Linked DNA regions of Bombyx mori. The protein of the gene in region 4 interacts with the protein of the main gene of each other region in a biochemical or structural test. Links are inferred from orthologs where the notes say so. Each region holds a gene or a part of one and is shown on either strand. Other genes may lie near its edges. The genes, in order: guanine nucleotide-releasing factor 2, tyrosine-protein phosphatase non-receptor type 11, PLCg, DRK, actin nucleation-promoting factor WASL and NCK-interacting protein with SH3 domain.

Region 1 (5,008 bases), on a different chromosome or scaffold from region 4:
CTACGAAGTCTACCGGGTCAGCTGGTTTGTTAAAAAATGAGAAAAAAAACACTAACCTGGCCAAATTGTACGTGTGTATGGAATGTCGGAACATATCGGGCGGTGCGGCCGCGTTGTTCGGCGGGTGACTACAGTTACCGAACATTTCCATGTACGCCATTACTGCACAAACACAAATTTCTGGTTAAACGATATAAAGACGCATCAAGTGTTACAAAATTCACGTGATTTTTAAAATAACTAAAAAAATATACATTTATTTATTATAATAGAATTTATTAAAATTTTCACTCAACAAGCTAGAGCTTTGTTTTTATTTATTTATTTAATGCTTTCAATAACTTCAAGTGAATTTTGTACACTACTAACATTATGATTTAATGAAAAGTAATCACGCTATGGTTGTTGTGAACATGGAATACGTGCGTTGTATGTACAATGAGCCGCCAAATGAACACCGAACAAAGCAAGGACGCATTATAATGAAGCACTAAGTAAGTTCATAAGTGATAATTAGCTACGTCGCGTATATTCGACAATACGCTATTTCAAGCTGCGATATACCAATTAGCGGGAATAAATACATTTCTACGTTTAAAGCAAGGCAGGCTTATCGTGATAAATGCGAAGATTGTTCATCAATTTATTTTTAAGAGAAATCTCTTTGCGGTAAAAATAAAATTTAGGCGTCGGTTATTTAACTCCTAACATTTTGAAACATAAATTTTAAATCTTAGATAATTGAGATTATCCTAAACTTCAACGCCAAAGCAATTCCATTATACATACTTTACAGAATATATATGTGTTGTTTAGTACTTTGTCCAGAAAAATAATAGTGCGATGTTCAAGAATTTACTAACACAATGAAGGTGAACTGTAAAATTTTCTACCAATACCACAATTATATTTAATTATCTAGTTTCTCTAAAACGTTCCGAAAACGAAGACAAAAATTAGTACTACTTATTGCGTACACAATTAAAAAAACATGATCTAAACACATTTTTATACGCAATGTATCACATCCAAAAATCAGCAGACGCGCAATAGTCAGGGTTTATGTCGTTGACCCCTGTCTATAGATTAGTTTGTGGATGCACGAAAAATTAATAACAAAACTATTACATATTGCTTTGCTTAGTATATTAGAACTGTTTCGGCTTACGTAAACGCATTTCGAAACATTTTCCTAATATGAGAGCCCTTCCTTTTCATTATGTATTATACTCAAGGCTTCGTATTGAACACTTTTTATATGAATAAAATTATGAATCAAGAGTATTTCATAACAATTTATTTACATTTTTTTTTTTTGTTAGTGACAATGTAATGATGCAAAACGAAATATATTAGACAAAATTGGTAGCGTTTAGGAGACCTCTTGATGGTTATCATGAGGGATCAACTTCAAAACAAAGATTGCTTCAAGCACACTTAAATTATATATAAACTCCAATGTCATTCAATGGAGTGGATCTCTAGTTTAAAAAAAAACACAAAACACGACATCAGGATTAATTATGTTTTCGTATTATTTAAAGGTCCACATAGTGTTTAAATCAATCAAATCAAATCATTTTTTTTTTATTCAACATAAATAAAAGTACACACTTGTTGAACGTCAAAAAGAACTACCGCTCATTCACAAAACTAGCCTCCGTCCGGCGAAGAACTGGCAAGAAACTCAGCGGGCATGTCTTTTTTTTTTAAATATTAGTTTTTTTTTTTAATATTCGTTCGTTTGTTCGTTGTAGTCATAAAAAAAGAAATTGAATAGAGTTTTATGATCGACGAAACATAATTGATTCCCATCGTGTTTTGCACCAGAGCCATCGTGTAGCGCGTTTCATGCATAGATCCACTCACCGCTGTAGGCGACGCTTTGGAACACTGCGGCGCCGCACCGACAAAGACAAACATGCCGTTATAGCCCCAACATACAATATATATAACATTTACATTCAAGAAGTACCCTCCGAGGACAGACATTCCCATTCAATGACACAATCGCAGACGTTATTACATTCCAGAGTGCAGTGAGCGCGTGAGGATGAACTGACAGCCAGTAACGACGGACCATACTGACACATCGAGAGCAGACCCATGCAAGTAGTGAAAATTTGAGGGTAGTTTCATAATTTACATACTATAATTTTATTGTTTTTTTATTTAAAACGCAAAGTCGACATCATAAAAATTGATATGTTTGATTCAAGAAATGAAAAAATTACTATTGGTATTTATTTGTTAATTGTAATGATTTTGAAATTTCGCTAAGTACCAAAAAAGGAGATTGCATTTAATTAGTTTCAAAAATCCAGAAACAATTATTTTTCTCCAACAAATTTTATACTCTGATTCCCAATAGATTATGAAGTTATTTCTAAACGTACATAATCACAATGTACCGTTCATAAGCATTAATTCTTCATAATTCAAAGTATTAACAATATCTTGTAAAAATATGCAATTTTCAAAACTAATTTTTTTTTTTCATTTTATGTTTAGTGTTATGTCATCAAACAAGTACGTATTACGTGATGTTATCATGGTTTGATATATATTTCCTTCAGGATAGTAAAACAATTGAATATTAAAATTCTTACACATTTTAAATAACTTTTCTTTAATGCGTATTATAATCTGTATTTTCTATGTTATCTATAGAAAATATAAACATTGTACACCAAAATAAAATTATTTATCCTGTTGAAATACACAAGAACTTTACCTCGGTATGAAACAAATAACTATAGACATACATACACATAAAGATACCAAATTTCTAGTTCACATGGTTACACAAACTATTTCGATAACTGTCATACGGAATTTCATAGATCAGTTATAACAAATAATTTATAAATAAAATCTGATATTCAATTCGGCGATTTCTTGCAACACTTGTTAATCTAACTACTATTGAATATATGAAAATGCCTACAGATACTTTTTATGTAATAAAAAATATCGATATACTCACTGTGTTTTTTCTTTAGCGGCAATGGTGGGGGCCTCGGTGGATGGTGATCAGCTAATGTGTGCGGTCTGGCATCGCCGTGCAGAGAACATACTGGGTTCGATCTAAACACATATTATTATTAACACTTTTTAGCTCAAACAATTTTCATTCAACAATTTTTTTTTTATTAAATTCGACTTGTAAACAAAAATATATATTTAAAACAACGGAAAAATGTGGGACGTATTGCGGCATCACAACATTGTGTAAATCTAAAAATGATCTCGCTTAGCGGATCAGACGAGCAATTAACTCAGCCAAGCGTCACGCCTAAACGACAAGTTACTTAATGCAACCTTTGCAGAATTACAATTCGTTGGCCAACAACGAGCACTTTATTTTACTCTCACTTTTACCTCAATAAAACTCAGAAGTCATTTTAAAATTTGTTTGATTTTCTCCAGCTTTAGCAATATTTGCACTTTAGCGAATGCCATACGAATGTTATAACATTACAGACGAGTTTACCAAACGTGAGCTACATGATATCGAGGGGTGAAATGCTATTTGGTTTAAGCGACATTTCGGTTGATATACGCGACATTTATCATTGTAATTAAAGGTTTGTTTTTTTGGTATTAGTATCAACGATTAGATGTTTTTAACTGAACTTCAATTACGTTTACTCCATTCAAATAGCTGAAGTTTTTTTTTGTTATGGTTTTTTTCCAAATTTTGTACTTTAAATGGCTCTCCTGCAGTCGTTAGAATATCGCTTAAACCAAATAGCCTTTTACCCTTCGATATGTACATGGTTTAAAAAATAATAGGACTGCACCTGTCCAGCTACATGAACGATTATTATTTTACATATATTTGTAATTATAATAAAGAAAAAAACGAATAAATATATACCTGATTTCGACATTCGGGAAGTGTTGCTGTACGTCGGCTCGAATGTTGCGCCTCGTCTTGGCGGGCAGCTCCGGTGGAGTCTCGCTCTCGTCTGAAGTAATGCTCGCCAGTCTGCTGGAAGCATTGCGAAGAACATTAATTGCCTAATACGTTACGAAGTCGAACTTCGAATACGAAGTCGATTTACTGGTGTGACAGCTGTCGTTCTGTTCGTTAACACTAAACATACCATAGCGGGTCAAATGACCCATTTTGAACTTTTGTATTGAAAATGCACGTATCATCTTGTTGCTTTTGCGCACTTCATGACTTTTTCTTACCAATTAATCTACTGGTATTATATTATTTCTTTTTGTTTTGTTTTGTTTGTTTTTAGTATTACTTGTCATATTATACCGTTATCTACCCGCTATGGTAGAAAAAGGGAACCAGTAAGTGTTGGTATGATTAGTGTTAATTATTGTGACTTTTAACTTGGCCATAAATTCGAAACATATTATTGCATTTTTACAAAACCACTCAATCATTGTTGAACACCTTTTTTGCACCTATTGTGGTTTATATTAAATTGACTGTTTCATGCTTTTGAGTCATTTACAACGTCAAATTAGCCACTCTGAAGAATCACAGTCGGCACAAAATTCTGACAAATAAATGGATGAAAATTTATGTTAATCAAAGATTACAACAATTGTGAATTAAGTTGGTTTAAAAAAAATGTTAAAATTGATAAAAAAAGGAACGAAAACAATTATTGTCTTAGCTCAAAAACCTATTTTAACTGAACTTTTATAATGGAACACGATATTCAGAAAATACATTCAATTCTAATTAAAATAGGTTATCTGAGCGAACCGTTTACAGTGTGAAGGTAACGATGAGGGTGTGGACACTCACTGCGAGGAATGGTGCGTGATACATTGGTTCATGTTTGTTACATTCATGCGGCTCTCAAAACTTTGCACTGTGCACCTCATTTCGCTCACACAGTCTGTACTGTTAAAAGTACTGCAAAAACAATAACAACAAGCTTAACAGAGATATTTCAGTTCAGACCAATCCTCCTAAACGCCATAATAAGTTAGTCTTTCCATTTCATAAATACTAACTCAAAGTCTGTCTGAAATA
Region 2 (5,796 bases), on a different chromosome or scaffold from region 4:
AGATAGATGCATTTAAAATATTATTATTTACATTCATCTACGATATTCCGACGTTTATAAAGCTTTTGATATTTTAATTTGAACTTTCAAGGCTATTCATAAAAATGGTACGGGCATAGACCTGGCTCGCGGCGAGTCCTGTGCCGCCTCCGGCCCGAGACCTACCCTTTGCTTCTCCGTTTCGATAAACTCCAACACGGCCATGTAGATAAACTTATATTGAGCTTCGTTCTGCACCATACCGGACCTTTGGTCGCGCACCATCTGCACAGTGCGATGTATGTCGATCTCGCAGTCGAACCCTTCCTTTCTTATTTGGTCCAAGATCATATCGATGACTATGAAGGTTCCCGTCCGACCTATACCCGCCGAGCAATGAACACATACGACCGCCTGCGCCGGAGGATCGGTCCCCGTCATTATCTGCTGTAGCCTGTAGTTCACGTCCAGTAGAATGTTGAGCACGCGACCGGGCTCTGAGGGAACACGATGGTCCGGCCAGGCCGTGAAATGGAAATGATATATGGTCCGCTTCACTGTAGTCTCATCTTTTTTCGTGACAAGGAACCGTCGAAGCGTATAATCCGGCGTGGAGGATTCGAATTCGTTAAGTATCGTGTACTTCTTGACGACCTCTGTTTTGTTCAAGTCCGGCCAGTACCTTTCGCATTTGACCTTCCCGCGCTCGATCTCCTTTGTCGTCATTATGATGATGCGGACGTCCTCTTGCCATATCATCGACCAGAACGGGTATATTGTTGTCGAAAGACAGCCTTGAGTAGCTATGTACGTTTTGTTGTACACGTGTACAGTGGGCACACCGTTTTCGGTTTCGGTCGCTGATTTCGGTATTGTCGTATTGAAATAATTCGGGTTGGGACGAAGAACGCTCGGTTCGAACGCCGGCAGCTTGTGTGTTCCGTTGCCGTGCACCTTCTTACTTGATTTGACCGGCTCTTCAGTTACGATAACGCTTGTATGAACAGGCGATGATTTATCTTTAGCTTTCGACGGCGTACCGTCTTTGCCGTTTTCAGTGCTGCCGTTCCCTGTGAATTCTTGGGAATCGGAAATGGAATCCATACTGTCACATCGAATGTAGTTGGCATTGATGTAATCTGAGCCCGGAGGACCGTCAGGGGGGATGTCCTTTAAAATAACACGCGTGTGATCGAATGGTATAATATTTTTGTATCTGTTTTTCCTAATATTCTCCGGTTTCGAACCCTCCATTCTGTCGAACAACTGCAAGTTCTCCATCATCTGTAACGTTTCGAATTCCTCCCAGAAACCTTGTTTGTAGGCCATGCTCTCGATGGGTCCCTCGTTTTCCTTTTGAAGTTGTTTTACGCGCGTGTGAAAATGTCTTACCTGTATACGTGTAGCGTTGAAGGGTTGGATTAATCTTAGTACCTCACCAGTAGTCTCGACCATGGGAAAACTACGATAGTATTCTATTAGACTTACGAGATCGTCAAACTGTTGCCCCCCACCTACGTCATATTTGTTGTCCTTTCGCCTAATTATCACATGTGTAACTCGATCTCTCGTGCGAACGGACAACACGAAGTCGCCAGGTTGCCTTTGGGATTCGCGAACGAGAAACGACCCGTTTTTTCCGTTTTCCATCATCATTCTCTCTGCTTCCTTGGCAGTGAGCTGCCCGTGGTACCATCGTTCGGTTGTTGGATCTGCACAGTTGAGAGGCGTTTTTAACCTAATTATATTTCCATTTTTTTCTCTTAGCTGGCATTGATTGTCCATATAATATTGGACGAGTTCTGACAGGGTAGCAAATTTTTCACCTCCATAAAGATCGAGAAATTCGCCGTTGTTCTGAATTTTTATATGAGTGACCTCATTTCCTCTTCGGACGGAGAGAGTGAAATCTCCTTTATTACTTGAACTTGGCCTGGCCAGGAAATACCCATCGTGACCGCACTCCATGAGCAATTTTTCCGCGTCCACACCATTCAGCGAGGGGTGGAACCATCTTCGAGTTATCATCTTACACTAATAGAAAGCACCACTTTTGCAACTTACAATACCTTAAATATTAATTCAGTGTTTTTTCTTGTTCACTTCTGAATGCCCGTACATTTTCATCAACCATCTGGAAATAATGAAAACAATACTTAATTATTTTTTCTTCATTTCATAATATAATTTACATTTTAACGTAATTGTTTTGAAAGAGTATTTTGAAAGAGATTATTCCAAGTTATTTCAACATTGGAAATAAACTGTGATAAATTCTGAATGTTTTAACTTATACTGCCAGAAAAGAGTATGATTTAAATTCTTTCAAAGTACTAAAGGCCCATATTAATATAAACATTGTGTATTTATTTATTTAAGTATCTTTGTATGTTTATATTACCTAAATGTTTTTATTGTGTGTATTTGTTTTATAATATCTACTTAGAATATCAGATGCTTTTTAAACTTTTTGGATGTTGTACTCTTTTTCTTTTATTACACATCTTAATTCTTTATGACTGTTACAGATTCCTTGAAGACTTTTTTTAAGTAATAGTACATTGTGCACCAAGGGAGAAAAGTAGGACACTTCCTCCCGCGTGTAAAGTTGCCAAACACGCGGGATGAGTTGTCCTAATTTTTTCCCATGGTGCACATACTATTTTTTCATTGATATTGCTGTAGGTACATGCTAACAGCCCATTTAAGTTGTTACCATTAGACATAAAGTATAAATTCATAATTAGCAGAGTCTCTAGAGTGAGGGTTTGCAGTTTCAGCAACTTAGTATTCAGTAACACCTTTTTTCACTTTGCTAAAAGTATGTGATGTGTGTTCATTAGAGTTAAAAGCTTGGCAAAATATAGTTTTAAACTTACTCTCTAAGCTTTTTCCCTACCTTCCTATTGGGATATATGAATGGTGATAGAACTTTAGATGAATCAGAGAAATGGCTCGTTTTGTTGAATTACGAGATTCATAACCTATTTGGGTATTTTTGCTGAAAACAAAACCAAGTTGTTGGAAACTTAAGTAAAGTTATTGATTTACCACATGTTTTGGTTTCTGTTAGATATCAAGTGGTATTGCATATAGAAAAAATATATTAAATGGAAAATGTTTGCAGATTTGTATATCGCAATATAAATAGAAAAAATAGGCAACAGGATTACAATTCGCTAATTTATTATTGTGTTCTCGACTGGCTTAAAGTGACATATAGCCTTGCACTTATATGTATATATGGCAATGTAACACAAAGGTACATTTCTTTATTCATTTTACGCTTTTTCCTTGTACTAGACTCGCCTATATCGACCACAACACACACTACTCACCTCATAAAGGCACCCGTGATGTACAATCCCGGCGGTATCCCATAATATAATAATTATACGGATCTAAGTACTGTTGCTATGCTGACTTTAGATTTTTTACACACGATTTTCAAGGGCGTATACACTGAATACACTGGCACGGCTCGAATGTTAACCTAATGTTGTAATTAAAAGCATAAACGAACATGAAAATGTGTTATTAAACAAAATAAATCGTAAATTAAATTATTTAGCACGAAAAGCTGAAAATGAATTTTGTTCTTTGAGTTGCCTGGAGAAATGTCAGTCTAGTGATTTTGTAGCCCATTTGTGCCTTGACAAGTTGTCAACAGAATGTCAATCGGTTTTTGAACGAACTTCCAATTTTGTTTCTATACTATTTTATCTATACAAATTAGTTCGAACGTTTAAAATTTATCTTACTATAAATTAATGTGTTAGGTAATTTTAGAAATGAGCTATAACCTAATTTCCAAGCGTTTAATTAATGGACAATAACAAAGCACTTCGTACCAAACGATATATATTTTGTGTTAACATTGCTTTATGATTGATGTAGGTAGGTACTGCAATTATTACTATCGGATGTTTCCCTTATTTTCACTCAAACCGTAGAAAATATACAAAGAATACAACAAAAGGTCTTATACGAAAGATTGTATACAGTTAGTTCATCAGATAGAAGTAAAATAGCCTTGGTCATTATCTTAATTTTTTTTGTATTATCTTTAAGGGTTGAGAAATTTATTTTGTTCGATACTTTAATTTTTGGAATTACATAAAATCCACAAAAGGTGGTTTTTGAGCATTTTCTTAGTGCGTTAAGGACCTTCCTCAATGGAATTAACAAGGACCACAATCATACTACTTGGTTCTTATAACTGTAGTATGTTCTAATGAGTAGTATAAAGAGAAGTTTCAGATATGAATTAAAATTTAGGCATAAGAATATTCGTATATATCTGACAAAGTAAACATTTTGAACGTAAATAATTTTCATACATGATTCATGTCTATCATTTTAAATTACTTGTTTTCAAATTGTTTTAATACATTTTATGTTTTAGTTAAGTGAAATTTACAAATAACGAACTTAGTGATTTAAAATACAACACGATCTGTATAACATTTTTATTTGTGTACATGTTTATTTTTCACCATCCGCCGACGTAACTTTTTGACTTTTGCCAAAGTAAGATGAAATGACCTTTTTTACCGCTAGCCTTTTACTGTGAGATGAATTTTCTCCTGGCGATTTAGGAGACTTGTTCCACGTTTCGGCAAAGCTTTGACGACGAAATACTTTCCCCAAAGATTGCCACTTTTGGTCAGGAGTGATCTCTTTTTCCTCAAAATTATCTTTACTGCCTGAAGGCCGATCACCCTGAAAAATATTTTTTTTAGCAACGGCAAAAATATCTTAACAGATTGTATTAATGCAAATGCTTACCTCATTGGATTTAGTTGAACGTAGTTGATTTCTGAAGAAATTAGAAATCGATTTCTTCCATGTCTTAGGATTTTTATAGGAAGTTAGTTCCAAGCTGTCTGTTCCTTCAGCAGGAACTTTGTTTGGTTTCTTTTGGCAGATATCATTGCTTTTGGATAACGTATCATTTTCAGGCTGAGAGCCTTCTGGGCACAACATTTCCGGTTTTTTTTTCAGTTCTTAATTTTTTCACAATTCAATAAATCCAAAATTATTTGTGTATTTTGTCACCAGTTGTCATTCGTGTTTATTGTTGTATTTTGTTTTAAATTCAAAAACCGAAACTATATAGTTTTGAAATATTATTAATAAAACTTTTTGGTTTCAATCGCAAATTTATCTGTGGCAGCACGCTTGAAAATGTAAGGTAAGGTGAGCCTAAGATATTTGGCGGAAACGCGAGGAGGGAAGTTGTGTGATTTGCTTTATTTTGTCTATTTAGTGTTTCTTCAGGTTTCAATATGTAATAATGGTGGTTTATTAACTGTTTAATATCCTCCATATTATCATTTTTCATAAAAATAAGAATATGAATTTAAGTCATAAGACATGACTTAAAGGTCTTAGTAACCAGGTCATAAATACGCTTAAAAAAAAGTAAGGTAATGGCGGGAAAACAAAATACGTAGGTAATGCGGTTAAAGTGATTTCAGTGTAGATACGCGTGAACATTATACAACAGCATTGTTTTAAAAATGTCAGCTACGGCCACATTGCAGTCTCAGGTTTGTCTTTTGTGTATATTTAAAATATATAATATTGTGAAAGTACATAATAATTTAGTCGTATATAATACTTACGTAAAGTTGCCGTGGCCTAAAAAGTAAAATGCTATGTGTATCAAGCGATGTAGATAACTATTCCGGTATAGAAAATACGGATTTACTTCAGGAACAAATTTCACGATGAAGAAATAACATCTTGCCTATTTCTGCCCCGAAGGAGTCACGTGTTCCGATTTGAAATGTGAAGCAGCTATTCAATACTATC
Region 3 (5,491 bases), on a different chromosome or scaffold from region 4:
GCATGATATGCAATCCACGAAAAGTTTCATCAATATAATAACATTTATGCTTACGTGTTATGAGAAGAAGATATCCAATAGTGTGACAAAGGCCTGGTCATATCTTGTGTAACCTTATCATACTGACTGTCATAGATGGAATTCTGCTTGGAGTACAGCATCTCGACAAACTGCAATTAGGTAATTTAAAGAAAAATTTAAAAAAAGTTTGAATATCTCTATTAGTGGAATGAGAAATATTGTAATTGATTATTTAGAAATAATTTATACATTATATTTGGTATAAGAATACAGCTTTAGATAACGAGAATAGAACAGCTTGCAAAGCAGGCGCTCATAATTTAAATGTGTTATCATCATGAAAACGCTGAGCGTACATACCACCTGGTTGCTCCTGGACATCAGTAGTATCCATGGCAAAAAAAAAGTGGGGAAGCCCATTGAGTGTACTGGGCATGCTGCAGTTTCTTAAAGCCATAGCATGCCCAGTACAACAACCTCTTTCCTACTATAAGTATCATACTATAAGTAGTAGGAAAGAGGTTTGCATTTATGGTGGGCAGCAACAGGGAGAACTGAGGCCTTCCATAAAGACTCAGAGGCTCGAAATTATAGGTAAGACCAGAATCACCTACAATCTTAATAACCGTCTTATGTATAAAGTAAAATGGCAGTAGCAGGTCACAGAAAACAAAATGGAAGCAAAACTTTGTAGAAAAAGTATTTTCACCATGCAAGAAGTACTACTTCACACTGCTGAGTTAATTTACCTCGCTTAAAGTGAAATAAGGTTCATAGATGTCTCTTTGTGGATCTCTTAAGTAATCACGGATGAACTGTGAGGCTTGTACTTCATCATCACCAAGGTTATCATGCTGTTCATCTCTAAGGAAATTTTGAAACTCTCTAAGAGTAATAGTAGTACCATTAGAACAATAGACTGAGTATTTATCAAATATGTCCTGAACATTCTGAAAAAAATATATTTTACATACATCACTGTCTATAAGTTTATATTAAAATATTATAATGTGGACAAGGAGTTAAATGCATAAAAAATTACTTTCTTATTAATTCAGTGAATGTGGCATTGCCTGATTTCTAAGCCAATATGGTTCTTAATGCATTCATAATATATTGTTTGTTTATGAGAGTATAATAAAAGGTCACAGATTTTTTCACGACTTCTGATGAAGCCATCATTAAGATAATTTATGTGAGACATGGATTAATTTGAGTTACTATCACTACATCCATATTATAATCTTCCTAAACAGCTCTTACCCTCTAATAGAATAGTTGACAGTTTTTTGAGGAAGCAACATAATATCTAATACTATATAATATTGCCCACCAGAAAAATGTATTAAATAATTTACAGTTTTAAAAAATGTACAGTTTTAAAAAATTTGCAACCAAAAACATCAAGACATCATGTCTTCTACCCTAGAACAATCAAAGGTTTCAAACTATTGATGGACTGATCCATATTTCAGATTAAGAAACTAATGGCTTCTCGTTATACCTATAAGCTTTGATGATTACATACCTTGTGAGCCAAGAGCTCATCTACTCATTTATCTTAATAAATAACAAGTTTGATGTTTGAATAAGTTTAATTAGTAACATTTAAAGAAATACTAGATTTGTTGTTTATGATAACCTACTTTTTAGTAAATTAGATGAATACTTACATTCTCATCAAAAATTAGCTTCTGATAAAGAACAGCAAAATCATCAAAGCCAATCTCCCCTCTTTTTTCAGTGTCAACATCTTGGAATACATCTCGAAGCTTACTTGTTGAAATTTTACAATTAATTTTTGGTAGAAAAGCTTTGACCTCTTTTAATGTTATTCTAAAATGATTTTTGTATATTACATTTACAATATATATGCATTTTCAAGCTAATTAAATTGAAATAAGAAAATTAATATAACAATAGGTTTTTCATATTTACTCACACTAAATAATGAAAATATGTAACAGACAATTGAAAGACTAATAAAGCAATATAACTTGAGTTTAACTTAATATTACATTGCAAGCTTTGCATTGTTTTCTATTACAATTTATTTTACTTTATGATCATTTGGTAATAGTTTGTTACTTTTACATACCTATTACTAAAAATGTGTTGACAAAGCCTGCCTTACAATAAATTACATTACAATATGTTCCATTTATGTAAAAAAGCTAATTAAGTTTACTTTCATCAATTACTACTTACTGAGATCTATATATACTCTAGTTTACTGGAAAATAATAACAATTGCTGCTAATGTACCAAAATAGGCAAGAAAGAAACATAATTAATCATTGAAATCACATATGGAATGGTAAAATAACAATTACTGGCAATTTTTACATTCACATTTTTAAAAATAACTCACTTTTCATGGGAGTTTTCAATAGAATAGAATTCTTTCCGGAGCCATCTTTCAATCTGTAGAGGATATGATGCACTGACAGCTTCTGCTATTAGATACAGTACACCTTTCACCCAAGCTTCACACTCTTTATCTGTTTGAGCTGAAAGATTGTAAATAGTGACTCAGATCCATTTATAGAGGAAACATAAAATTAACAGAACTCAGTCCGCGCACTCACACATTTAGAAATGTTTATAAACTACTTCAACATACCAACAAATGATGCACAGCGAAGTTTAAATTCAGTTCCATAATAAATGGTAAAGCATTTTGAACTTTCAAGACGTTTGGTTTCTTCAGGCCAACGCTCAAAGTCTTTGGATGATTTTCCAGTGCGAACTTCTTTGACATCACGGATATCGAGAGCCCCTTCGTAGCCCTGTCTCTGAGGGGCATTGATTCGAGACCAAAGAACTTGATGGGTCTCTCTTCTCACGCAAAGTGCACGCCTTTCGGGTCTCTTACGAGGGAAGAATTTTAAAACGGTAGAGCCTCTTTCTATGTAGGAGATAAGCTGGTCTGCCTCGTGTATGAGCCTATCTTTGGCCCCGTTGAAGCAGACCGACTTCATTGCACTTCCGCCCTCACCGCCGGATGCAAGCAAACTGTGGCGAAAGTGAACAACGCATGAAATAAAAGAGCGACTGCTAATATTTCTCTACATATAAATAAGGCACCCGAGTTTAAAATACATTATTACTGGCTATTTCTACATTACACACACTTTGATATTTAGTTTGTTTGACATTTCCAAACCAAATGAGATGCATAGATTATACACTTAATATATAAATGATGAGATGGTTGAGACGGGGATGATTACGTTCCGTTTTAGCTGGTTTTAGCATTCAATTCTTTGACTGACATTTCTTACGTCAAGAGGCTCAATTATAAACTTTTTCAATTTATTGAAATCTAAATTTTATGACAGTATGAACCTATAGTTTTGTATTGTTTTTTTTTACATGTTGATAAGTTTGAGACGTTCTATTAAATAATGATAGCCCAATTAAAAAAAAAGTACTATGTTAAATAAATAAAGATCATTTTTTTATGATTGAATGCTTTTACTGGTGGCCCGGATGCCTTTCCAGTTTTACTTGGACAGGTGAGCGAGCAAAGGCTCAACCAGGAAATTAAGATCATGGGATCCCGCCAACTTACTAAAAAATATAAACGATATTGGCGGTAAAATTGAAATAGATAGACCTTACATTTTAAACCTTTACCCTTGATATTTTAGTAGTACATTAGTAGTTATTCACAATATAGATATATGCTCATTCGCAAATAACCCATCACCGTATGTATGTTTGTTATAAGCATGTATTTATTGATAAAGATTTCTATACCGCAGATTTTCATAGTTTTAGTATACTTTTTTTTAATCTCTCTTCAAATCAATCAGCTAATGTGTAGTGTTAATGAATATATCGCTTAATGTTTTTCTTAAATAGGCAGACGAATCATGATCCACTTGATGTTATGCGATCGAAGACCAAAACAAAACAATTCTTTTTTGGATATCGATTCTAATAATATTGTGTTAATTAAGTACAGAAGTGTAACGTAGAAAGGTCATTGATGAATTTCAAAACATAGTAGTAATTGTAATCAAATAGATTTAATACTTAGAGTATGTATGTAATTTGTAATAAATTGAAAGGCAAACGTGTGTTTTGAAATGGAAAACCTATATGCATACATATACGTTTTTATTTTGTGATGATACCTATGTGTAGATTTTTTTTTGTTTACACGACCTATTGTTATATTGTATATTTGGGCCGTTGTATACCGTTGTTGATTCTTTTCGAATCTCGTTTAAAGCAGGTCAATCAATAGTGTTAACCACAGTGTAAGCTTAAATGAGCAGAGTTAATTCCAGACACGCACATGAAATAAATGTTTTTTTTCAAGGCATTAGCGCAAATACAAATATCAAAATTTTGAGTATAAGCTTACATAAATAGGAAAAGACAAAACCTTAAGTAACATAAGTAAATTTTTATTCTTTTATTGTCAACCTATTTCATTTTCAATTTTTTTCCGTTTATTTCCGTTTTCTGTATAATGTCTGCCTTCACGACTAATCTTTAGAACCGGTACGTAAGTATCTTAAGAAAGCCTTAGCACGCTTCTTCGACTTACTCGTCGTTTATTACCAAGAGTTACTAATTAAAATGAACTAATCTATAGACACAATCCACTGAGTTTCTCGGCCGATCTTCTCAGGAGGTCGTGATTACGATCCGGTGGTAGATCCGAAGAAGAAGAAGAAGAAGGGTCGTCGTACCCCCTTACGGGGGCACGGAACGGGCCTCGGGGCAAACCCCACTGCCCGGGCAGAAACTCCCTGCCACTTAGGGCAGGGGTGGACTGATGAAGGGAGGAATGAGAGGGAGGGTTCGTATGCGTATGCGCGTGGAGGTAGATCCGACGGCGAAACACTGCTCTTTATAGGGCTAGTGTTTGCAAATTCTCTCAGGTTGAGTCCGTGAGGTCACCTACCCGTCCGCGCGTAGCTGTAATAGCCTCGCTACCAGCAAATAGGTAAGATAAAAAACGCTAATAGTCATAAGTATAGTGTGTTAAAAATAAATAGGTAATTGGACATTTTTTGTAAACCGAGGAATAAATGATTCAGTTTGAATAGAAATAATATTACAGTAACAGAACGACGTCAATGCGAGAATTGTAATATTGCACCTAAGATGTTTTACTTATAAATAGTTGCCATATAGGTATAATATTCTCTTGTCTGTCTCAGTTTCAAGGTCCCAAAGGATATATTTTTTCATTGTCTTATCTGTACCTATTCAATGTTAAAGTTTAAATTGTTCTATTTTTTTTTTATAATTTAGGTTTTAAAACTTTATTTCAATCTAAGTATTCTTGGTAAAACTACCTCTTAGATTAATATTACTATTTATTTTTTATTTTAGTTTATTTCGGACTTCATTTTTTATTTAATTAGTCTGTGAAATATCTGGTATTTAATTTTTAAATCCTGTTATGAAGACAAATATGCATAAATAATGTCAATAAACAGTTGTTGAG
Region 4 (5,461 bases):
AATTTTTGAAATTATACTTCAATAAATAAAATAATAGTTTACTATTTTAACTTAGTTTTATTTTTACTTTAACGGAAAATAAGTAGAAATGACTTAGCTTGCGATTTTTTGTTTCCCAAATTATGTACATAGTTATCTTTTAAAATCAATTTATTTTAAAGAATGTCAGCTGCGTAATATAACGTTATTATATTTTTAATCAAACTTTTCTAATTTTATTATACATTTTTTTGGTTTTATGTATTTATTTGCTTTCAAATTAAGAAAGGAGAATTAGCAAAATTGTATTTTTGTAAGCAGATTTTTTATTATGAATTTTTCAAAATTAATTTTGCAGTTGTAAATAAAATTAAGTACATGCTATTGCCCTTATTTTTTTGGATAGCAATAAACTGTTTCTGTTTGGCAAAAATATGTTACAATTTACTGATTATAGTCCTCCATTTAAGTGGTAATTATTTCACGTATCGGAACTTTTGTATCATATTAAACTTGATGCCGGCTAGAAAGGCAAAGGCAGTTATTACTAGAATCCAATTGCTAGTTTGAACCTCATGTCATAATTTGGCATTCATGTTTTGATGTCTATGAGCTTCGGTAACCACATCAAACTAGGCGGGCTTTGATCTCGCTCACGCGTTCAAGCAAATAAATAGCAAAAATAAACACAACAGTAACGAAATGTAAAATAGTGATTATTTGTAAGATAATATCGATGAAGTTAAAGAATATTTCATCACAACCACAATATTTAAAAAAAATATGGTGCGTGTACAACTTGGTGCACGTGAAAAAAGGGAAACTTCTTTTGTGGTGTGTAGTATTGTGGTTTTCTTCATTTTTCATCTTTAAATCAAATTTCCCCATTAATAAGGAATGCTATATATAAGATAAACTATCTAGCTCACTTTGTCCTTTCCCTCTCTCCACGGTCGAGTGGTTCATGAGACGCTCTGTCTATTTTCTCACTCTCGGTCTTCCTTAATGAGAAATATGTATATGCTGAAAGTGAAAAAAAATTAGCCAAGTTACCATTCAGGCAATATCATTTTGTGGTCTTTAATGGCAAGTCGTCCTTCGTCCATAGTCGTCCTTCTAGTCTACATTCTGCTGAAAAGTTTAAATTTAGACCTAAGTTTTGATGGCAATTCGTCTCTTAAACTTAGTTGGGGCGTCTGAATCTAAATCTTTTAGTCAATTTCAATATTTTCATAATGAATTAGGTTTTTAAATTCATCTACATGTTTTACGAATCCTTATAGTAGACGATTCTTATAAGTGAGATCCAATTCAAATGTAGAATGAATTTGTTTTTAGTCTTTACAGGTAAAGTTGATGTTATGTTCCTTGCCAGTATCAAAAACACACATGAATGCAAGTAAATTTTCGAGCTAAAAACACAGCTGCAAAGTGGCAACATTTTGATTTTTTTGTCAATTTGTAAAGTGAGTGATGTGTTGAGTACAGACGGATTCCGATTGGGTTTTTCTAAATTTGTAACTAAAACGCATCTTTTTTATTCAACATTGTGAGACAATACGTGCATTATGATTATTTTACTTCCTTGACATTAGACATTTTGGAAAGTTTGTGTACTTTAAGAGTTATTTTTAAGAATTCGGTGACATTTCAGTGAAGTGCCTAATTTGATCATGGAGGCTCTAGCAAAACACGATTTTACTGCAACCGCAGATGATGAGCTCAGTTTTAGAAAAAATCAAGTATTAAAAGTAAGTTAAATATTTATTTAACTTTTTGTTTTGTTTAATACCTAGCGATAGTTCTTTCTAGAATGGTTCCTATTGCAGATTCTAAACATGGAGGACGATATGAACTGGTACAGAGCTGAATTAGACGGGAAAGAAGGGCTCATTCCTAGTAATTACATACAAATGAAAAATCACAGGTAAGTGGGATATCTAATATTTCTAGTCTTAAAATTATAACTGATACTTATAACGATTTTAAAATATTCTTAATTAAAATAACCAGTTTATTTTTGACTTAGGTTTTATTTGTGAAAGCAAGAAGATATTGCTCTTGTGTAGCTATGTAGAGATCTCAGATAAAATTTAGAAAAAGAATGTTTTCATTTCATTCCAAACATTTGCTGAAGAAAACTGATAATGTAAACATTGTTTGTTTATAATTAAACTTGGGCTGGTCTACTCATTTTTATTTACATTTAACTACTATGGTATCCGGAGAGTGTTGCCAAACCTAATCTACAAAGTCATTTCATTATTCTTTAGAAGAAGAACATACAAAATGAATGTTATTTATAGATACACAACAGAAATTTCATGTAACTTACCAGCTGCCACTAAACTAATCAACAAATGTTTGTTTACATTACCAATTGTAATAATAAAAGCCAAAGTGTCTTTAAACATATGAAGTGTATTTTGAAAGGAGAAAACAATATTTGATTTCAAAGTAAATTATAAATTTGGTGTATTTTTTATTACACAATTAAGAATTACGAAAAGTGCTTTTTTTATTTGAGTACTAAACTTTATTTCATGATTCTCAATGAGAAAAGATTTGAATAGATAGAAGGTAGTTATTAAACATATATTAAAGAGAATGGTCTCTTCAACTAGAATCTGATTATACATCAGAAATAAACCTGTTGATTTTGTAAGTGCTAATGCTTTGCCAAGCAATAAAATTAATGTGAAGGCTATGCCTGAAGTGATACAAATGCTCCTTTAATTCATAGTGTTGAGTAGTACTATAATATGAATGCAGAACATACTACCATGACCACCTAATTTGAGATGTGAGATGCAGTATCAATTGCATTGTGATAATAACTGTCCTAAGGTTCAAACCTAAAGGCACAATTGCTGCAAGACAAATATGGTATACAGAGACACACATACAGTGTATGCTTACAGCATACCTGACCACCAAAAACTACTATTAGTAATAATAGTAATAAAAATTCTAAATATTTGTAGAACATTTACTTATTTTTTGTTTATACCTTACTGGTGTATTGTGTGGTGTATATTGTATCAGCTAGACTGGAAGAGAAATCTAAGCACATCCAGTGCATCGACTTAATGAATTGGATGTCAGAATGAGGTCACAAACCACCTTGTGTCAAGTAGTTACAGGAGCTTATAGATATTACGGTGTAAATTCTCACTATCCACCAGTTTTAAGGATTAAAAACTGTCTTGGGACATATTAAAAAAAAACCATAATTTTTAAGTAATTATTAATTTGAAAATAGTAAGTATTTGTATTTTAAAGGTGTGCCTACATAACCTCTCTTTTTCAGTTGGTATTATGGGCGTATTACAAGAGCAGATGCAGAAAAACTCTTAGCAAACAAACCTGAAGGTGGCTTCTTGATAAGGATCAGCGAATCAAGCCCTGGCGACTTCTCCTTATCAGTCAAGTAAGTCCTTTGTATTTTTACATGTAATGTTTATTATTTTTCACAGTAATAATAATCATTATTTATTATTTCTCTTTTAAAGTTATAGTACAAATACAAATAGAGATTAACCTTACAATTTATTTTGTTAGCCTTTGAAAGAACTGCAGTCTGTACTAGGTTCAAAGACCTGTATTACTGATCTCCAGGCTCCCTGCTTCTTAGGATAGATTAGGCTAGGTTAAGTCATGAACAGATGTCGCAGACTAAGTGTTGAGAGATCATTAGGTGTTATCATTTAAGTAGATATCAGTAGTTATCATTCCAACAGAAGACCGTTCATTATTATTATTTAAATAAACAATTTTATCTGGATGGAATGTTTTCTGTATGTTTGCATGTAAATAACTTAGTGTTTCTCTAAATGTTTTATCAATAGAGTCTATTAGTAATAAAATAAAAAGCTCCCTTATGTAATACTTATAAAACTAATATTGTATGTATATAGTATATTACAGCTTATAACTAAGGGAAAATTGTCTTTGTCTTAACAGAAAAATACATTATAGCAATGCTATCTAAAAATATATATTGGAATCACAATAACATTTACATTTTAAGTTCAGGTGAATGACCAGCATTTGCATCCACGGGTCACTGCAGTATAAATAAAGTAAATGAAGAGTAAAAAGAACCATCTATAGTCTTATGCAATTTAACATTGAAAAACCATTATAAGATAAATGTATTTAGGACGTCAGAAAATGTAATGTGTAAATAAATACTTTGTAAATGTAGTTTTAACCATGTGTGCGAATTCTAAAACTGAGTGAATATTAAAACATTTTATCTATTCATGGAAGGTTGGTCATAAGATAGATAGAGAACTTGATAAATTCAGAATTTTTCTTATCTCAATAATAAGAAAAATACACCATCTGAAATACGTACAAATAAATACATTCCATCCTTATCAAATTTTCTAGAATGACTAAACTTTATTTCCTTCTACAGTCAACAATAAAGAAAAAAAACAAACTATGACAAATACAATACTACTCATTTTACTTGTAAAGCTGTAAAATTTACCTCATATTCATCATGTGAACTAGTTCTGTTGAGTTTCTGTAGGCTTCTGTAATCACTTAACACCAGATGGGCCGTGAATCTGTTCACCCATCTGTTCAGCTAAAATAAATTGTTGTTGTAATAAATAATTGTTTTAAAATTATGTCACAGATCCATTTGGATAGACGGCTCTTTCTGTGTTTGTACTGTGTGTGCTATGGAGATGGATATTTATTGTTTATTTGCATGGACGAACTCACAGCCCTCCTAGAGTTAAGTGGTTACCAGAGCCCATAGACATCTACAACGTAAATGCCCCCCCACTCACCTCGAGACAAGAGTTTCTAAGGTCTCAAGTACAGTTACAACGGCTGCCCCACCCTTCAAACCGAAACGCCTCGCTGCTTCACGGCAGAAATTGGTGGGGTGGTGGTATCTACCCGCGCGGGCTCACAAGGGGTTGTACCACCAGTAATTACGCAAATTATAATTTTGCGGGTTTGATTTTTATTACACGATGTTATTCCTTCACCGTGGAAGTCAATCGTGAACATTTGTTGAGTACGTATTTCATTAGAAAACTTGGTACCCGCCTGAGATTCGAACACCGGTGCATCGGTCAACACGAATGCACCGGACGTCTTATCTTTTAGGCCACGACGACTGATAAAATGCTCCTGGCATTGCTGACATCCATGAGTGACGATCTACCTATAAAGTATAAAGTAAATACAATAGCATGTAATCGTTTACAAGTCGCAAATTTCTAAACTCGGCTTTTATATTAATGGAAACTAATTTCGAAAGTAAAAAATCTACGCTAAGTTACGAATTCCTACTTATCTACTACAGCAATGAAAACATTGCAATTTTTCAGGCAGTTTGCCTTTACATCACATTATCTATATATTAATACGTGAAGCAAAAATTTTGTATCCCTTTTTACGAAAATTGCGCTGACGGAGGAGACTGAAATTATCCACACTTATAGAGAATATAGAGAAG
Region 5 (5,008 bases), on a different chromosome or scaffold from region 4:
GGCCTAAAGGTTAAGACGTCCGGTGCATTCGTGTTGAGCGATGCACCGGTGTTCGAATCTCAGGCGGGTACCAATTTTTCTAATGAAATACGTACTCAACAAGTGTTCACGACTGACTTCCACGGTGAAGGAATAGCATCGTGTAATAAAAATCAAACTCGCAAAATTATAATTTTCGTAATTACTGGTGGTAGGACCTCTTGTGAGTCCGCGCGGGTGGGTACCACCGCCCTACCTATTTCTGTCGTGAAGCAGTAATGCGTTTCGGTTTGAAGGGTGGGGCAGCCATTGTGACTTTACTGAGATCTTAGAACTTATATCTCAAGGTGGGTGGCGCATTTACGTTGTAGATGTCTATGGCTTCCAGTAACCACTTAACATCAGGTGGGCTGTGAGCTCGTCCACCCATCTAAGCAATAAAAAAAAAAAGGATATTCTTTTACTGATTTTTACATAAGCAGATCTGAAGGGTGTACTCACGGATCTAAGTTCGACGCCCTGTCGTATCTCGCTCAGCAGGTTGCTCCGGTTGTCCTCGACAGGTGGCGCTTTGGCAACAGGTTCGACTCTCTGTAAATTAAGTAAATAATAAAATTTATTATTATTCGGCAATATTGATGTTGTTCAATACAATGTCAGTAGTACGGTTTGATACTCGATCGTTTTCACACGCCTTGAAGGCGGACATTGACCCCTAATATTGTTTGCTTAACATTGCTTGCTCATTAAAACTAAAAGCACGCTTAATAATACAAGAAATATTAAACGTATCCCGGAACTTTATCAATTCGAATTCAGGTTTGAATTATTAAAGACCCTTATAGCGCATCTGGGATATTCAAATTTTTTTTTCTGTAAATTCCTGTAATGTATTTAATAAATTTTCTGTAAAGTGGAGTAGCTGTTGTAGTTATACTGAGATCTTAGAACTTATTAAAGTGGGTGGCGCATTTACGTCATAGATGTCCATGGGCTCCAATAACCACTTAACACCAGGTGGGCTGTGAGCTCGTCCACCCATCTAAGCAATAAAAAATAAATAAAAGACGAGGCCGAACTGGAAATTTCGAGGTATAGAAAAAAAATTTTACAGAATAAAGATATGGACCTTCAAAGTGCTGGCTCCACTACGTATGCTCTCCATGAGTGCGGCGCGCGCGTCCACGGCGACGGCTGCGTCCTTCGGCATCGGGGGGGCGTCCGGGGGCGGGGACGGAGCCACGGGCGCGGGCGGCGGCGGGGGCGGAGGGGGCGGCGGCGGCGGAGGGGCCACGCCCGGCGGCGGCGGAGGAGGCACTGATGGCGGCGCTGACGATGGTGCTGGATAAAGAATAAAACGTGTTACGATTTTTGCTGTATACCTTAATATTAAAATTATTATTATTCATTTACAATGAAAACATTTACTTCAGATTGTATAGAACATAAATAAAAGTACATACTTGTTGAACGTCAAACTACCGCCAATTCACAAAAACTAGCCTCCGTCCTGAGAACTGGCAAGAAACTCAGCGGGCATGTTTTTTTTTTTTATATAAGTTTTTTTTTATGTTCATATATGAGTCGTCTATTATCAAAGGTGGCAATCTGTGCATTGGGACAAAAAAAATTTATTGATATGTCAATAGATTTATTTGAATATAATCGTCTCCTTCAAAGAATACGGTTCAAAACCTGCATTAAATAAAGGTTAATAGTTAACCTGTTATTTATCTAAGATGTCGTTCCGAAGAGTTTTGTGACTGCCAATGGAATACAAAGTCAATAATCCGTTTTTCTGATTTACCAATCATTGTCCAAAAGTCAGATTGCCGGCTTTGATAATAGTCGACTCATATACAAATAAGTGCATAGTAACCGTAAGAATTACTCTTCAGCTGACGCTGAGAGAAACAATGATCACAAGATATATTGGTGTATAGTATGTGTGCACTCACGGGGCGCGGGTCTGGGCGGCGGCGGGTTGCGGGCGACGGAGGCGGGCGGCGGAGGGGGAGGCGGCACGGCGCGCCCGGGCGGGGGGGGCGGCGCTCGCGACGCTATACGTCGGCAACAGACACATTCGATATTAAACATCTGCGAAACCCTATCTCTACATAGTTACTAATTGTACCAGCGATAGTGTTTAGTATTATGACTTGCCTTACGTTGGGCCAGTGAGGACCGCCAGTAACATTATATACATACTTGTGAAGTGAAATAATCGAATTGTTTTCTTCACACTAAATATTTGTAATTTGTTAATATCAATCGGTTCAAGGCATGAATAAGTTGATTTGTTTGATTTTGTTAAATGACCATTATATCAATTAGGTAATTAAAAGTGTACATATTAAAAATGTCATGTGAACGTTTGCACGTGTCGCGGCGTGCTGTACGTACGTGGCGCGGGGGGGTGCGGCAGGGCGGGGCTGCGCTGCGGGACGGGGGGAGCGGGCGCGCGGGACGGCGCGCTGCGCTCTGCGGAACATCGATACGTACGGTCAGCGTAAGGATAGAGTGGAAAACTAAAATATTACTGGTGGTAGGACCTCTTGTGAGTCCGCGCGGGTGGGTACCACCACCCCGCCTATTTCTGCCATGAAGCAGTAATGCGTTTCGGTTTGAAGGGCGGGGCAGCCGTTGTAACTATACTTGTGTCCTTAGAACATATCTCTCAATTTGGATGGCGCATTTACGTTGTAGATGTCTATGGGCTCCAGTAACCGCTTACAGGGCGGTGGTACCTACCCGCGCGGACTCAATAGATCCTACCACCAGTAATTACGCAAATTATAATTTTGCGGGTTTCATTTTTATTACACGATGTTATTCCTTCACCGTGGAAGTCAATCGTGAACATTTGTTGAGTACGTATTTCATTAGAAAAATTGTTACCCGCCTGCGGGATTCGAACACCGGTGCATCGCTCAACACGAGTGCATCGGACGTCTTATCCTTTAGGCCACGACGACGATTTTCAAAATTGATGATTGATGATACCTTTGATTGGCTTCTCATTGTTTGTGTGCAGATCCTCCATGACAGCGTTAATGCCACCGTTCGTCTCTATGAAGCTATATATGAATTTCCTCGTCTCCTGGTCGCGAAGGTGGACCTCCGAAACTCCTGCCTCCTTCAGAAACGACAGGAGCTTCTCGTCCTGTGTGGTCTCCACGTCGAACCCTGAAAACGTTAATATATTTATTAATTCGATAGGTGAACGAGCTCACAGCCGACCTGGTGCTAAGTGGTTACTGTGGCCCATAGACATCTACAACGTAAATGCGCCACCCACCTTGAGATATAAGTTCTAAGATCTCAGTATAGTTACAACGGCTGCCCCGCCCTTGAAACCGAAACGCATTACTGCTTCACGGTAGAAATAGGCAGGGCGGTGGTACCTACCCGCGCGGACTCACAAGAGGTCCTACCACCAGTAATAAGAGGTCCTACCACCAGTTCAAATCCAAATCTATCCTATCCAAATCTCGAAAGTGGAATCATTGTGATGAGGGTGTCTGCACGGGTGGACATCACCAGGTCCTGGTGCGAATCAGTCGCGAAGGGATCCTGTGTATCGCTGTGACCACTGCTATTGTAACATAACTGAGACTTGGACTTCATGGCTACAAATGAAGAGGCGACGTTGTGCGACTATCGGTTATCTATACTAATATATAAATCTACAGTGGTTTTTATTTTACGGATGTTCCGTTATAACTACTGAACCATGCATCCGATTGACTTGAAACTTGGTATCCATGTAGAATATGCATGTACTTAATGGATAGGCTAATATTTATATGAGTGTTGAACTCCCTACACCAGTTACGGGGGTGTTAATGATGAGAATCTTTGTGGGGGTGAGAAATAATAATGTTAATTTTAAATGCCCAGCGAAGCGGACCGTTACAGCTAGTCATTTATAAAAATAATGTTCAATGTGCTTAGTGCGAGTTTTTTAACGTTCTCGATGGCCTGATAGTTAACTCCAATTAGTATGCAGTTGGAACTGTTATATTATATGTACAGAGTACTGAACCCTAAAATGCTGATACCCTCAAACCGCTGACTAGACGGTTCGAGGTAGAGACTTTAAAGGAGACCGGAGAACAGTCAGTAGAGAGTGAACTGTCTTAGAGTACGGGTGCGGCTCTCGCGGTTACTCTGAGAATTACGTATATCATCCATATTGTATAAATAAAATAAAATAGTTCGAATCTTAAAAGTTTCCTTTTTTTAAAACGACCTCAGAGTAAATTCCCATAACAGAACGTTTGCCTACGTTTGCCGCTAGGGGCGCTGTTATAACTGCATACAAAAAGTTAACTTTTATGCTATCGAGAGCGTTAAAAAACTCGCACTAAGCACACAATAAAATTTTGTTTCATTTAATTTTATCCCAATCGATTAAATAGTCAAATCAATTAACTTCATCCTATTTTACTTCATATAACAGAATATTAGTATGTATTTTACAATTGAAGATTTTTATGAACTCGACACTGGCAACAATGGCGTCGCAAGAAGCCAATTGCCATACCTAAAAAAAAAAGGAGAAAAAGAAAAGATCCACGCACCTTTATCTTTATCCCATCCGATGTGAGAAACGTGCGTGAAGTTGTGAGGCATCCCGATGTCGGCTTTAGTCAATTTCCTTGTCGTTTTCCGTTTTCCGGAGCTCTTCAGTGTGTACGTACCTGGGCGATCATTACAAGTTATTACACATACTCTCTGATACATATTGTAGATGTTGCACTAAAATTCGCATGTCAAATAATGACAAAGCATACACGCTGCTTTTAACTTATGTAATAACTCATTATTTTTTTATTGCTTAGATGGTGGACCCAGCCCACCTGGCGTTGAGTGGTTACCGGAGCCCATAGACATCTACATCGTAAATGCGCCACCCACCTTGAGATATAAGTTCTAAGGTCTCAGTTATAGTTACAACGGCTGCCCCCCCCTTACACCGACACGCATTACTGCTTCACGGCAGAAATAGGCAGGGTGTTGGTAACTA
Region 6 (5,008 bases), on a different chromosome or scaffold from region 4:
TCCCGGTATATTATTTGCTAACAGAATTATTATTCATAATATAATTAAATGAATTAGCACCAACTAATGGTCCTTCCTATTTCTGCTGCCTAGCTATCATATATGTTAAGTTTTGATCAAAACAGTCGGTATTAAGTCTTGTACTATCACACACACACCTCAGATAATAAAATTGTCTCGAGTGGGTGGAAGTATTTATGTTTTGCAACTCAGCGTATTATATGCTTATTGTCAAGTGGGCCCGAACTAGTTTTTCGGAATGATCAATCAGTCATGGTTTCCTGTTTAAATAAAATACAGCACAATTGATCTCACATCCAAAGTTAGATGATGGCATTCACGTTTTGTTTCCTGGTGTTTGATAACCAAGTTACGCCAAGTGGCCTGTGACCACGTTCATCCTTCTACCCAATATAAAATAATGTTTTTATTTTTGTAGACAAAGGTTTGATAATGACAAAATTTTATGGAAAAATTATAAGGAGCACTAAAATGTCTGAAACATGAAAAGATTGATGCACTATATTTGAACCAGAACGTGTTATGTAATATATTAATTTGTAAGTATGATTACATTAACACTAAATTTTTCAATATTTGTTACATACTTAAGATACTTTGTTTCTCCGTTTCAGAAGAGAAACTGATTCAGCAAGGAACGTGAACTCTCAAGGATCTTAATTTTTTTTAAATATGTTTATAATTTATAAATTAATAATTGAAATACTTCATAAGAACTAAATTGATGCCAATTTTGTTTTAAAATAGGTTGTTTAGTTCTTATAGTTATAGTATTACGTTTGAATAGTTGTAATTAGTAAGTTAGTAATATATGAAAATACTGATATAAATTTTTGTAAATAACCTTTTGTAAATTCTACGAGAAGATGATTTTAATTAATGATCAAAAGTCAACGGTCTTCAAAAGCATTATTTGCAATTATTTAGATTAACTGTGGAATATATTTGCTAAGTTGTGTTTTCTGTATGAGCAGATATAAATGAAAATGCCCAAACATGATTATGTTTCTTACATTTTCATTATGTGAAATCAATATGCTTGTGACTGAGTATATTAATAATTTATTAAAACTTAAGTGATAGACAGCAACCCCTATGGCACTGCTGAAGTTTATAAGCACTGGTGACCACTTATCATGAGCCGGGTTGCGTGCTCGTCTGCTGTTGAGTGCAATAAAAATTTTCGAAACCCTTTCTATTATTTAGATGTAATATTAATGTACATTTAATTTGGATTAAAAGATAAATTTACATTTTATGTTTGCATGTGTATGTTTATAATTCATTTGCATGTAACGAACATCAGTTTCTTTTGTAACAAAATGCAAACTAATGGTTTGTAATGAATGTAATTAACTTTAAGATGATTTTCTTTCAATCTGCTGTTTGTTTCATCTAGTATTACCAAAGCTAAAGCATCAGAAACGTCAGAATAGAAATAATTTAGATAGGGAATAAAAGTATAACTAATGTAATCATGTCTAAGATTACTATAAGCGTCATTAAGTACAAACTATCAATATTTAAGAGTACTTTAAATCATCATTACATTTTTTAAACATTTTTTGTTTTTTTTTTTTTGTTTTTCAAATCATGTAACAAAACGTTTGTGCAGAATAAAATGTCACATGTTATGAACATGATAGTGGGTTAATCGTTTCTTAAATTTCTAAATGTTTATAAGAATGCTAAGAATAATTTAGTATTCACTTTAGTGTGTGTATTATCTCTACAATGCTAGTTTAAATGACAATTATTGTATGACGAAGCATAGGTAGTGTTTATAAATGTAATATTTTCATACAAGGTCATGATCTGTCACGATCAACTTTAAGCAAGAACTGCTATCGTTAAGAAACAAATTTATTAAATTTAATTCAAATTGTCTACTATGTTTGTAATGGAAAGCTGACATGTTTATATTTCGCACAAATGACTTAATTGACATTGAATGATTTGATTATCTAGACTTAATTAACTTTTAGATAACTTTCGATTTAATGTGTACGCTAGTAGGATTAATCTAGAGGAGTTATTGTTATTCGAAATTTTATACAATTGTACGTTCATACAATCTTTTAACAGAAAATTGTTTGTAATATAGGGAAATTAAATAGCTTACAGAGAATTACAGCTTTTTATTTTAAAAAACTGTTTTCTCTCTGTATGAAAAGATCTTATCGATTAGAATGCTGAACACAATCAAACATTCCTTAATATCTCATAAGTACTACCGGGAATTTCAGCGATTCTAAACGATAAGATTTTTTCATAAAGAGAGTTATTAAAAATATTAAAATTACTAAAAAAGCCACCTGGTGGGGGGTAGGGAGACTAATAATCGACCGTAGCGACGCCTGCTGGACCGGGCTTTAACTAAAGCAAAAATAAAAATGAGAGTTGCGCATCTATCTCTAATATATTAAGTGTATAATCTATGATTCTAGGGATGTCGTATCGACTATAAAAGCATTGCAGAAATGACACGAAGGCAGCACGCCGTGCCCCCGTACAACGGGTACAACGACCCCTCTTGCTTGCTTGCTTGCACGAAGGCAGTTAGTAATCGGATCTACTCGAAGCGAAACAGCGAACAGATCACCTGAAGCGAAGCGGAAGAAGTCTAAGTGTTTAATAGAGTTTTAATTTGTACTTCGGTGGAAGTTTTATTTATCCCGAACCCCAGCGCGTAACAATATGATTAACAAAGTATACCCTATTATGCAGAATGAGATTAATTCTTTTTATACACATACATAATTCATCTGTATCTTTTTGTTTTATATTGAATTAAGCCACTTTACCTTCACGATTGAGTAACAAGAGCACTTTCTCACAGAATGTTTTGGCCATGTCCCTTGTTTCCAATGCATTCAACAATATGTTGTCGAATGGGTTCTCAAACTGCAAGTTGTAGGCCAAAAGGAGAGTTGAAAACAAATCAGGTATCTGTTCATCGACATCGGTTTCCGGTGGATCTTCAAGCAACTCCAGCAAAAATTGTGCAAATTCAAGGCCGAGCTGCTCGAAATGTGTGACCGGAAGTTTGTCTCCCATAGATAGAACCATGGAGAGTAGCAGAGCGGAGTGAGAGAGACGGCTGACGGCCCTAGGGTTGTCGCGCATGTCTCGAGCAATCTCCGCCGGTAACGATGACAGCGCCAATGTTGCTAGGGCTGTACGCTCTAGGCCGCACATTATACCAAATGCCTGAAAAAGCGTATGACCATTAAGCGAATATTCAAGTTTTCTTTATCCTAACCAGGAGGGCGCTCTTAATTATTCGTGATAAAATATTTTTAGGTTCGAATATACTTAACAAATCTTATCCAAACTAAGTCGGTTTCTAAGCAGTGTGCTTAGTGCGAGTTTTTTAACGTTTAAGTGTAAAGTTAAAGCTAAAGTTAACTCAAATTTGTATGGAGTTGGAACGTTTGCCTACGTTTGGCGCTAGGGGTGCTGTTCCAACTGCATTCAAATTTGAGTTAACTTTTACGATATCGAGAACGTTAAAAAACTCGCACTAAGCACACAGGAGTCAAATTCAAGCAAAGCCAAAATAGATATAATCTGTTTTGTTGGAAAAAGGAATCATACAACATTGATGCAAAAAATCCTACAGCAGAAATTGAGTATCTCCACCTTATTTTTATTTGAAGTTGTTTAAAAAGTAGGAAGTAAATTCGGAATGCCTCCAAAACTACGTAAAAAATTAACTTTTGACTTTTTATTTAAGTAGTTAATTACAAGCACTTTTCCATATTAGAATACAGTTTCATCACTTAGAATAATCCAAAACAAGCTCAGGTCTTGCTTATTCCCAATGAATTGAAATCCGTACTATGTAAATTGAACACTGGTTTAAAATGAATATTTAAATGAATTATGACTGGAATTAAGCCAAGATCTTTTACTGAGCACTAACTAAAACTGTCTTATATTTATAATTTATAAAAATATGAAATTCTTTTTAAGCTTCTGTATTTTTTAAAGTATCGTGCTATTTTTCATGCTTTTAACATCCTCAGACATACATATCTCAGTGTAACTATGTAATACTCATACTATTATACATCGTACAATGATGCATTAATGGATAAGTTTCTGGGAGACAACATAAGAAGACTTTGCAATTGTCCTAATATTTATAATGAATGTTATTGTTTTCTGTTGTTATCATAAATGGGTGTATTTAATGTTTTCATTTTACTAGTCAGTTACATTAGAAGAATCACAAAACATATCATTGGTTACCTGTAACAGTAGCTGACGTAGGGGCCACCGAGTTTCCATCTGATAATACTGTACCAAAGTTGTCACATAAACATATCGATGACTGCTCAACACATGTTGGGATATGTTGACATCAGCATTTGACTGAAACGATATATTTTATTATTACGTAAAGTAGTATATAAGACTCATCCATATGCAACTTAATATGTCTTATGCAATAATGCAGGTAATTCCAGTTGGAACTATTAAGCAACCAATATACTTTATTCATTGAGAGCAAACAATTGTGTAATAAAACAAAAATAATTAGACATAAAAATAAATAATATTCAATGGCTACAAAAATATATTTAGGCAATTAGTTACTAGGTATTCAATAAGCAAAATATGTAACTTCAAACAGCTAGCAGTAAAGTTATAAAGTAGAGAAGTTAGGCTCCTGAGCCTAACTTGTCCCTGGACAAGATGTTTTAAAGCTTCTCTAACTACTGAATATGAGATGGGGGAGTTTCTGGTTTCCAAAACAAAAAGTTTATTATATTCGTTAGCTTACCATAACGGAGATCAGTTCAAGCAATTGTGTTTGTATGTCATGTGAGTCATCATGCAATGCCCAGCCTCTTTGTTGAGCATCATTAGCTGCTTTGGAAAGTGCATTCAATGCAGTCATCATCCTCAATGCATCAGGAGCAGCATCAATAGCATTCTTCGGACAGGTTATATTACTATTGGCCTCACGAAGTAATGCATC

What was found.
Region 1: the proteins of DRK (region 4) and guanine nucleotide-releasing factor 2 form a complex in vitro, tested with the Homo sapiens proteins (2 studies listed by BioGRID and IntAct, with this or other methods). The link is inferred for Bombyx mori from reciprocal best matches to the Homo sapiens genes GRB2 and RAPGEF1.
Region 2: the proteins of DRK (region 4) and tyrosine-protein phosphatase non-receptor type 11 form a complex in vitro, tested with the Homo sapiens proteins (4 studies listed by BioGRID, with this or other methods). The link is inferred for Bombyx mori from reciprocal best matches to the Homo sapiens genes GRB2 and PTPN11.
Region 3: the proteins of DRK (region 4) and PLCg form a complex in vitro, tested with the Homo sapiens proteins (2 studies listed by BioGRID). The link is inferred for Bombyx mori from reciprocal best matches to the Homo sapiens genes GRB2 and PLCG1.
Region 5: the proteins of DRK (region 4) and actin nucleation-promoting factor WASL form a complex in vitro, tested with the Homo sapiens proteins (2 studies listed by BioGRID). The link is inferred for Bombyx mori from reciprocal best matches to the Homo sapiens genes GRB2 and WAS.
Region 6: the proteins of DRK (region 4) and NCK-interacting protein with SH3 domain form a complex in vitro, tested with the Homo sapiens proteins (2 studies listed by BioGRID). The link is inferred for Bombyx mori from reciprocal best matches to the Homo sapiens genes GRB2 and NCKIPSD.

What each region holds. Positions count from the first base shown.
Region 1 is NC_085121.1:7,790,151-7,795,158, reverse strand, and holds part of guanine nucleotide-releasing factor 2, read right to left. Parts: intron 4,889-5,008; coding exon 4,778-4,888; intron 3,995-4,777; coding exon 3,881-3,994; intron 3,088-3,880; coding exon 2,987-3,087; intron 1,894-2,986; coding exon 1,870-1,893; intron 163-1,869; coding exon 57-162; intron 1-56. UniProt on the Homo sapiens protein: Guanine nucleotide-releasing protein that binds to SH3 domain of CRK and GRB2/ASH. Transduces signals from CRK to activate RAS. Involved in cell branching and adhesion mediated by BCAR1-CRK-RAPGEF1 signaling and activation of RAP1.
Region 2 is NC_085119.1:16,185,443-16,191,238, forward strand, and holds the start of tyrosine-protein phosphatase non-receptor type 11, read right to left. Parts: upstream 3,648-5,796; 5' UTR 3,318-3,647; intron 2,114-3,317; 5' UTR 2,008-2,113; coding exon 97-2,007; 3' UTR 1-96. Other genes in the region: uncharacterized protein LOC101736406, read right to left, coding at 4,465-4,701, 4,768-4,965; uncharacterized protein LOC101737689, read left to right, coding at 5,502-5,531. UniProt on the Homo sapiens protein: Acts downstream of various receptor and cytoplasmic protein tyrosine kinases to participate in the signal transduction from the cell surface to the nucleus. Positively regulates MAPK signal transduction pathway. Dephosphorylates GAB1, ARHGAP35 and EGFR.
Region 3 is NC_085107.1:5,700,788-5,706,278, forward strand, and holds the start of PLCg (phospholipase C gamma), read right to left. Parts: upstream 3,287-5,491; 5' UTR 3,156-3,286; exon of another isoform or gene 3,037-3,155; 5' UTR 3,003-3,036; coding exon 2,645-3,002; intron 2,532-2,644; coding exon 2,393-2,531; intron 1,858-2,392; coding exon 1,695-1,857; intron 972-1,694; coding exon 771-971; intron 171-770; coding exon 55-170; intron 1-54. UniProt on the Homo sapiens protein: Mediates the production of the second messenger molecules diacylglycerol (DAG) and inositol 1,4,5-trisphosphate (IP3). Plays an important role in the regulation of intracellular signaling cascades.
Region 4 is NC_085123.1:5,829,677-5,835,137, reverse strand, and holds the start of DRK (DRK protein), read left to right. Parts: upstream 1-1,652; coding exon 1,653-1,730; intron 1,731-1,808; coding exon 1,809-1,906; intron 1,907-3,289; coding exon 3,290-3,409; intron 3,410-5,461. UniProt on the Homo sapiens protein: Non-enzymatic adapter protein that plays a pivotal role in precisely regulated signaling cascades from cell surface receptors to cellular responses, including signaling transduction and gene expression.
Region 5 is NC_085121.1:15,505,385-15,510,392, reverse strand, and holds part of actin nucleation-promoting factor WASL, read right to left. Parts: intron 4,683-5,008; coding exon 4,563-4,682; intron 3,166-4,562; coding exon 2,983-3,165; intron 2,461-2,982; coding exon 2,383-2,460; intron 2,040-2,382; coding exon 1,938-2,039; intron 1,321-1,937; coding exon 1,109-1,320; intron 571-1,108; coding exon 481-570; intron 1-480. UniProt on the Homo sapiens protein: Effector protein for Rho-type GTPases that regulates actin filament reorganization via its interaction with the Arp2/3 complex. Important for efficient actin polymerization. Possible regulator of lymphocyte and platelet function.
Region 6 is NC_085116.1:6,563,780-6,568,787, forward strand, and holds part of NCK-interacting protein with SH3 domain, read right to left. Parts: coding exon 4,811-5,008; intron 4,399-4,810; coding exon 4,276-4,398; intron 3,232-4,275; coding exon 2,826-3,231; intron 2,624-2,825; coding exon of another isoform or gene 2,457-2,623; exon of another isoform or gene 2,398-2,456; coding exon of another isoform or gene 2,324-2,397; exon of another isoform or gene 636-2,323; intron 561-635; exon of another isoform or gene 1-560. UniProt on the Homo sapiens protein: Has an important role in stress fiber formation induced by active diaphanous protein homolog 1 (DRF1). Induces microspike formation, in vivo. In vitro, stimulates N-WASP-induced ARP2/3 complex activation in the absence of CDC42.